Solanum lycopersicum: one gene and its partner. Each later gene encodes a partner of the first gene's protein in a complex. Links are inferred from orthologs where the notes say so. Each region holds a gene or a part of one and is shown in the gene's direction. Other genes may lie near its edges. The genes, in order: NADH dehydrogenase [ubiquinone] flavoprotein 1, mitochondrial; NADH dehydrogenase [ubiquinone] flavoprotein 2, mitochondrial.

Region 1 (4,337 bases):
AAACGTCACAAAAGGAAGAGAGGGAAAAAAAGTTTGGGCTATTTTTTTTTTGAAATAGGACCCAGTTAACTACTTGTCAAAAAATAAATGAAGGATCATACAAATTTTGTCTACCACATAACACTTGTGCCTCATTCGTCATAAAATTTTTAGTATATTCTCAAATGGTACTAGTGAAACAGAGGCATGGGTAAAGCATATAATTGAGCTGCCATCATTGTCAACAACAACATCTCTATTTACAACAATCATAAAGGAGAGATTGTATGGATTCCAGATAGTAATTAACACTTTGCACATGTTCTTATATGACAATGGATTGAAACAATGGGGAAAAGTTTGAGATACAAAGGAATTATGAACAACAATGTATCACGGATCCGTATAGTGTTTTTCTATATCTTGTAGAAAGTATTAGGCCAAGAGTTAATCTAGTATTGAACCACCTACGAGAAATATGGTGGACTCATTTATCCTTAATCAAGACGTGGTGGATTTAGGTAACGTTGATACATAGTCATTTTTTTTACGGAGCACTTTATTTTTAACGTAAAATTTTTCCGCACGAATTTAAATTTAGTTGGACTTCAATGTGAATATAAACACCGGTGAAAAATTAAAAATAAAATTAGTATCGAACAAGGATTGATTCTAAGCACATGTATGGTTTAATTTTATGTCTCTTGTTTAAAATACTACGTTATCATTACTCTTCTATTAACTTATTTTTCAATTCTACTACTATTTGTTGTTTTCTCTGCATTGGTCTTAGTTTTTTTTATATGTTTTAGCTTAGTCGAGTTTTTAGCAAAAACAACATCTTACTTTTTTACGATAATAATAAATTATTTACACACCACTCTTACGATTATTATTATCGCATTTAGAACAATTTATTATCAAATGTTCTAACACACGCGTGTGTATTGAGGATTCATTAGCACTAATGGCTTTGTTTTTAGATGATATTTAAATTTTGTCTATGTACACATCCAAACCTAACATTAACCAAAAGAGTAATTTTTCAAGCTATATCTGTTAACTTTTAAAATAGGGAAAGAATATAATATTTGGGTATATATTGGACATTAATGGCAGACGATAAATGTATATCACTGGTATACATGATTTTTGCATATTTCGATCATATTGGTACATTAATGGCAGACGATAAATCTTTTAACTTTGGTGTCACTAAGGCCCATTACGACATTTCCTGAACACTAAGGCCCATCATGATATTTCATACCCATCAAGCCCACTACGTGGACCGTCATGATTCACAAATCGCAACAGCTTCATTTTCCCTTATTTTTTTCTTATTTTTATGAGAAAGAGAGCTTCAATCTCACCCTAATCTGCTGGAGAATCAGCTGAATTTCGTCGATTAATCACATTTCTGCTTCAATATTCATGGTAAGTCCCTATCTTCGATCTGTAATTTTTTTGCGCCACCAAAATACAAATGAAAATTTGTTGTGAGAATACGCCTTACGTGCATTTTGATGCGTCCTCGGTTTGTTCGTTGATTACTCTTTTGGTACTCTTCATAGGATATTTATTGCAAATTTATATTTTCAGAGATGTGGCTTAATTTTAACTGATTCGAATGGCCATGGTATTCCTAGAAAGATGAATGATGAGGAACCCTAAATTTTATTTGGCTAGCACATGTGGGTATTGCTTTTGATCTTTTTTGATTCCTGGATAAGTTATTCAGGAGAGGTGTTGCTTCATTGATCTGCTTTCGTTGAAAAAAAATGGGTTATTTTTTTAGATTGGAGTATGTTATAAGTTATGCAAGTTCATATTTTGAACCTAACCTCCTTATCAGAACTCTTTAATTCATAGACTCCGTAGCTTCTTTTCTTTGTTTGTGTGTGTTTTCAACTTTGTAATTTAGAATGAGTTATATGTATATAGATTAATAAGGAGTTAGTGTAGTCTTCCGCTGTACTTTGAATTAAGCTCTTTCAAGGTAAGCTTCTTTTTTCAGGGAAAGAAAACCTTCATACTCTATTACTTCGGAAGGCTTATGTATTTATTTTAGAGAGGTAGATGTAAATTAAATTAGTACCTAAACTTTGAAAACAGTTAGTTAGAGATGTTTTGCGTAAGTGTTTCCTCCCCTCCCCCACCCAGACATCAAAAGGAGGGTATTCTTTTTGTTTCTTCCCCTCTTGTGCAATTCCCTTAGCATCAGGTATTAACAATCTATTTTGGGAATAATTTTTTTGGAAATGTTACTGTTACTCTCTCGATCTTATGTTTCTATTCAATCAACTCTGCTTCGGTGAGTTTAGCAAAGTGTACCCCATCTAAAGCCTGGAAAAGAGTTGTGTTGTGGTTGGTCTCCTAGAAAAAGAGAGTATTTTGCAATCATGATGCATAGACCCATCGCTTAGTGCAGTATAATACAATCTTTTACCTTTGTAATTATGCTTGCTCAGTCTCGCCTCTTATGAGGCTAAAATTACTGATGTGTGGCATGTTCTTCTAACAGGCACCTATAAAGGGCCTTCTTTCTCTACAACGAACTGCATTAGCTCAGCGTTCTAGTGAAAGATGGGGCCAATATGGTAGGTTATTTAGCACTCAGGCTGCATCAACTGCTAGCACTCCCCAACCTACACCCCCACCCCCACCTCCCGAGAGGACTCACTTTGGTGGCCTTAAAGATGAGGATCGTATTTTCACAAATCTCTACGGATTGCATGACCCTTACCTCAAAGGTGCCATGAAGCGAGGAGATTGGTACAGAACAAAAGATCTTGTCATCAAGGGTTCTGACTGGATCGTGAATGAAATGAAGAAATCTGGTCTTCGAGGACGTGGTGGTGCTGGTTTTCCATCTGGTCTCAAATGGTCCTTCATGCCAAAGACAACAGATGGCCGTCCTTCATATCTTGTCGTCAATGCTGATGAAAGTGAACCTGGAACCTGTAAAGACAGGGAAATCATGCGGCATGACCCACACAAGTTGTTGGAAGGCTGTCTGATTGCAGGAGTGGGGATGAGAGCTAGAGCTGCTTATATTTATATCAGGGGAGAGTATGTGAATGAAAGGTTGAGCCTTCAGAAGGCTAGACAAGAAGCCTATGAAGCTGGATTGTTGGGGAAAAATGCTTGTGGATCTGGTTATGATTTTGACGTATATATTCATTTTGGTGCTGGTGCCTATATTTGTGGTGAAGAGACAGCTCTTCTGGAGAGCCTTGAGGGCAAACAAGGCAAACCAAGATTGAAGCCTCCATTTCCAGCTAATGCAGGACTATATGGATGTCCAACAACTGTTACAAATGTTGAAACAGTAGCTGTTTCACCAACCATCTTAAGGCGTGGTCCAGAGTGGTTTGCTAGTTTTGGCCGGAAGAATAATGCCGGGACAAAGCTGTTTTGCATCTCAGGCCATGTTAACAAGCCCTGTACAGTTGAAGAGGAAATGAGTATTTCATTGAAGGAGCTGCTAGAGAGGCACTGTGGTGGTGTGCGTGGAGGATGGGACAATTTGCTTGCTGTTATACCAGGAGGTTCATCTGTTCCACTGCTTCCCAAGAACATATGTGAGGATGTACTTATGGATTTTGATGCACTCAAAGCTGTGCAGTCAGGGTTGGGAACTGCTGCTGTAATTGTCATGGACAAGTCAACTGATGTTGTAGATGCAATTGCAAGGCTCTCGTACTTCTACAAGCACGAGAGTTGTGGTCAATGTACACCATGTAGGGAAGGCACAGGATGGCTTTGGATGATCATGGAAAGAATGAAGGTTGGCAATGCAAAGTTGGAAGAGATTGACATGCTCCAAGAGGTGACAAAACAGATTGAAGGGCACACTATTTGTGCCTTGGGTGACGCTGCTGCTTGGCCAGTACAGGGTCTTATTAGGCACTTTAGACCAGAGCTAGAAAGGAGGATCAGGGAGCATGCAGAGAGGGAGCTACAACAGGCAGCTGCTGCTTGATTCTTTTATGAGGTTGGTTCTTAAACTTTTGTTACATTTACATTGTAGTGTTTGATACTTGATAGTAACCATGAATCATCATCTTAATAAAACATTCATCTAAAAATTCGTTGCATGCTGTAAACTTTAATAAAGTGAAATTGGTTTCCAAACTCTTTCTAGTTCCCTTTTTTTGTTCGGATAATGGGTCTTTTTTTATCCTCTTGTTGTTTGGATTATCAAAGATCATAGTAACATGTACAAAATACTCCAAGCCCAAGGTACACCTCTCAGGAACTTTATCTCCTGCCCTTTTGTAATACTGCTGACCTCTCGCTAGGTCAATGCAACTTCAATTATTTCTGTCATGACAAAGAATTACCAAAATTTCCTT
Region 2 (3,181 bases), on another chromosome or scaffold:
CGATCTTTTTTGTGCTTCCACAAGACCCTATCTGCATTTGTTGTGGCAATGTCATTTCCTTCTAACTTCTCCAGTACCGAGAACCCAATCATTTAGCATTCTTCTAAAGGAGATGTCTCAATCCTGAACTGACCAACAATCTCTTACTCTACTCTCAGTATCTCTACAGATTTGGAAAATGTTTTAAATATTTCCTGTCTATAACAACCAAATTAGATCCAAAGGCCAATTAATAGGTGTGTAATAGGCAAAAAAAGGTTCAAACAAATGAGGTTGTCATAACTTATAAAGAGGTTTGGCTGTAATAGTGTGCATGGACACATGTACAAGCACAGCCTTATATGGAGGATACACAATTTATCCACCTTTACCGAAAGTAAAGTGACAAAAGGTTTCAGATTCTGGGGCAAATGTATTCTTTTTTTAATCTGCAAACCTATCAACTTGTCGAGGAACTTCATTTTCCTCATAGCCCTTTTGATGGTTTGGTCCTTGTCTAATTGGGGCCTCTAAGGGCTTGAACTCATCGATTGCTGAGGATGCCTCCCTTGGTTGGATGGTTTTTAGATACATGAGAAGAGAAAGATGTGATAGGCAGGGAACTATTCTAAGTCAGAGAACTCATCTTTACTGTTATCAGACAGTTTTCTCAAACCATATTTTCCTATTTATGTTAGTCATAGTGAAATTTGACTAGATATTATGATAACTAAAAATATTCTAGGGCCACCGGGGCACAGTTCGGAACTTTTTGGATAATCTAAATTGGTGCTGAAAAATAACCAACTTGTTAACTTAAATTCTGCTAGGATTTTGTTTGTGGTGGCAGTGTTTGAAAGTCCCTAATCTACGTGCATTGTCGCCAATGCATTGAGGTCTGTTCAGTGCAGTGTTATCAAAGGCGAAAAGTGCAAAAAAGCTCTAAGGTATGTGAGGGCTTTAAGCGCAAAGCGTAAATAAAGCGTGGGCTTTAATGAAAAAAGGCACAAAGGGAGAAAAGAATACAAATATATATGTTTAGTCATAGACTAATAATTATAAACATGGATGACAAAAAATGTCCAAAGAAATTGATGATAAAGTATATCAATTATTTAGTGTCACTTCTTCATATGAGGCTCTGGTAAGGCAAACACCCTTAGAACCTTGATGACGACACTGAAGCGCACATAAAGCGAGGTGAAGCGCTCAACACGTTTTGAGTCTTGCTTCAGGGTTTAAGCGCGCCTTTGATAACACTGGTTCAGTGGACCTTGTTTAGACCTAAATTGGGCATCTGTAGGGGGCCACTTACTATTAATTGGGAACTCTGGAGAAGTCGTGAAAATCATAAGGATATATGACGCACCAATGAAAAAGCAGGGTGGGAAAGACAAGATTATGTCTTTGCTTTTATCTTTTGCTGACTCTCAGTTTAAAAGCCTATGTTTTCACTAGCTTCCTAACCAACCTTGTAAAGGCATAAGATATGATTCTGGAGTTGAAACAGTGGAACCTACTGTTAATGACAAGTTACGGTTATTCATCAGAAGAAAATTTTCAATAGAATTATTTTCAATATGCTTAAAAAATAGTAGTGTTGTTTAAACTACTGCAACATTCTTCTTTCCATGCATTGGAAGCTCTTCAGCAAGGAACCATTGATTAGGTCATTAGCTACTCATATTTGTTCAGAATGTTGAACACCATTCAAGTCGTTGCTTATTTGATAGATAAGTGCTTTAATATCACACCTCATTTTGGTGACAGGGTTGCTGTGTAAATGCTCCAATGATGACGGTGGCTGACTATTCCAATGGATCTGAAGGATATGCTTACAATTATTATGTGAGTTAATACGTAAATCCTGTTTTGATCACTTGTTCAATCTTATAGTAATAAGTTTAAGTATTTGGAGCTTAATTGGTCTTCCCTTCCTTTCTGCAGGAGGATCTCACTCCAAAGAAAGCTGTAGAGATTGTTGAGGCATTCAGGAAAGGTGAAAAACCACCGGTAAGACGACTATAAGTTGCATAGACTAATTTTATCATGCATAATGACATCAATGCTTTGTTGATTGTCATGCTTTTTTATGTTTCAGCGCGGCACTCAGAATCCAGGTCGTATCAATTGTGGACCAGAAGGAGGAAATACTACATTATTAGGTGAGCCTAAGGCTCCTCCTTGTCGGGATCTAGATGCTGCTGAATAAATTTCTTGTTGTTCAGTTTTTTAATAATGCAAAACAATGGATGGAGAGACGCATCCGATATCATATGCAGTAACTTACCTACTGCATTGATGATATTTAAAGATTGTTTTCTGTCTGTCAGTATAATTACAGGTAAAACTGATTCTTGTTTGTTTTATCGGTTTAACTCTTACCGGATCCAGTGAAAGTCCTTTGTTTTGGGTCAGGATGTAATGTTTTGCCTAGAATTGATTTAGTACAGAATGGTTAGTTTACAATTAGGAAGTTTTTGATTTAAGAAGCCAATAGCTTTTCCAATCATTACACTCTAATACTCAAGTGTACTGGGAGGGAGAAATGGCATTGTTGTTTGGCGTTTTGGATGTGAAAAGAGATTTTCTACTGAATAAATAAACAACTGGCATTCAAAGTTTCTTGTGATTACTTTTCTTGTTTCATAGTGACACTGGAAAATTGGAGTCGAAGTTGCTATTTTGAGTTTTTAATTAGCTCATATATTTTAATGAGCCATCAACGTTTCAATCCCCTTCCAAGTCGTTGATTGTTGAAATTTGAGTCTAGTGATTGAGAGTCCAAGTCAAATTACTATCATCAGATAGGACCAACCCAAAAATATTATCCAAGTTATTATTATGATAACGCAAGAAAATACAATATAGTATAATAATTTATATTAAGCAAAATGGGAAACAGCTTTCCGTCAGAGTTGCCTTTTTCATTCTCTCTCCAATTATGCAACCCAATAATTACTCAGGAGAAAATTTAGAGAATTAAGTCAAACCACTATCACAACCCAACCACACACGCTTTCAAAAAAAAATACAAAAACCAAAAGAAAGACTTAAAAGTTTTTTAGACTTGGATTGATTGGTTCCGGATAAGTTATTCCAAAGTTTAATTAACTAAGTTACAAATAGTGAGATCAGTAATTTCAAAATTACTTAATACCTTTAATCAAACGTAGAATAAAATAATTCTATATTTTATCTT

Evidence for each region.
Region 2: the proteins of NADH dehydrogenase [ubiquinone] flavoprotein 1, mitochondrial (region 1) and NADH dehydrogenase [ubiquinone] flavoprotein 2, mitochondrial are in contact, whole or in part, in a cryo-EM structure (PDB 9F5X), measured with the Chlamydomonas reinhardtii proteins. The link is inferred for Solanum lycopersicum from reciprocal best matches to the Arabidopsis thaliana genes CI51 and AT4G02580. Residues at the interface, in XP_001702590.1 of Chlamydomonas reinhardtii: Asp58, Glu59, Arg61, Phe63, Gln64, Asn65, Ile66, Tyr67, Arg69, His70, Met78, Ser79, Arg80, Gly81, Tyr84, Met85, Glu88, Ile89, Lys92, Trp96, Gln100, Tyr133, Glu142, Pro143, Gly144, Thr145, Cys146, Arg149, Glu150, Arg153; in XP_001698508.1 of Chlamydomonas reinhardtii: Thr42, Arg79, Tyr80, Pro81, Tyr84, Gln86, Ser87, Ile89, Ile90, Pro91, Asp94, Val95, Glu125, Val126, Phe129, Tyr130, Thr131, Met132, Phe133, Gly147, Thr148, Thr149, Pro150, Arg152, Leu153, Gln154, Glu184, Met185, Glu186, Cys187.

Annotation. Positions count from the first base shown.
Region 1 is NC_090801.1:65,985,184-65,989,520, forward strand, and holds the start of NADH dehydrogenase [ubiquinone] flavoprotein 1, mitochondrial, read left to right. Parts: upstream 1-1,267; 5' UTR 1,268-1,413; coding exon 1,414-1,416; intron 1,417-2,503; coding exon 2,504-3,964; 3' UTR 3,965-3,976; intron 3,977-4,337. UniProt on the Arabidopsis thaliana protein: Core subunit of the mitochondrial membrane respiratory chain NADH dehydrogenase (Complex I) that is believed to belong to the minimal assembly required for catalysis. Complex I functions in the transfer of electrons from NADH to the respiratory chain.
Region 2 is NC_090808.1:60,899,162-60,902,342, reverse strand, and holds the end of NADH dehydrogenase [ubiquinone] flavoprotein 2, mitochondrial, read left to right. Parts: intron 1-1,749; coding exon 1,750-1,827; intron 1,828-1,926; coding exon 1,927-1,992; intron 1,993-2,080; coding exon 2,081-2,191; 3' UTR 2,192-2,600; downstream 2,601-3,181. UniProt on the Arabidopsis thaliana protein: Core subunit of the mitochondrial membrane respiratory chain NADH dehydrogenase (Complex I) that is believed to belong to the minimal assembly required for catalysis. Complex I functions in the transfer of electrons from NADH to the respiratory chain.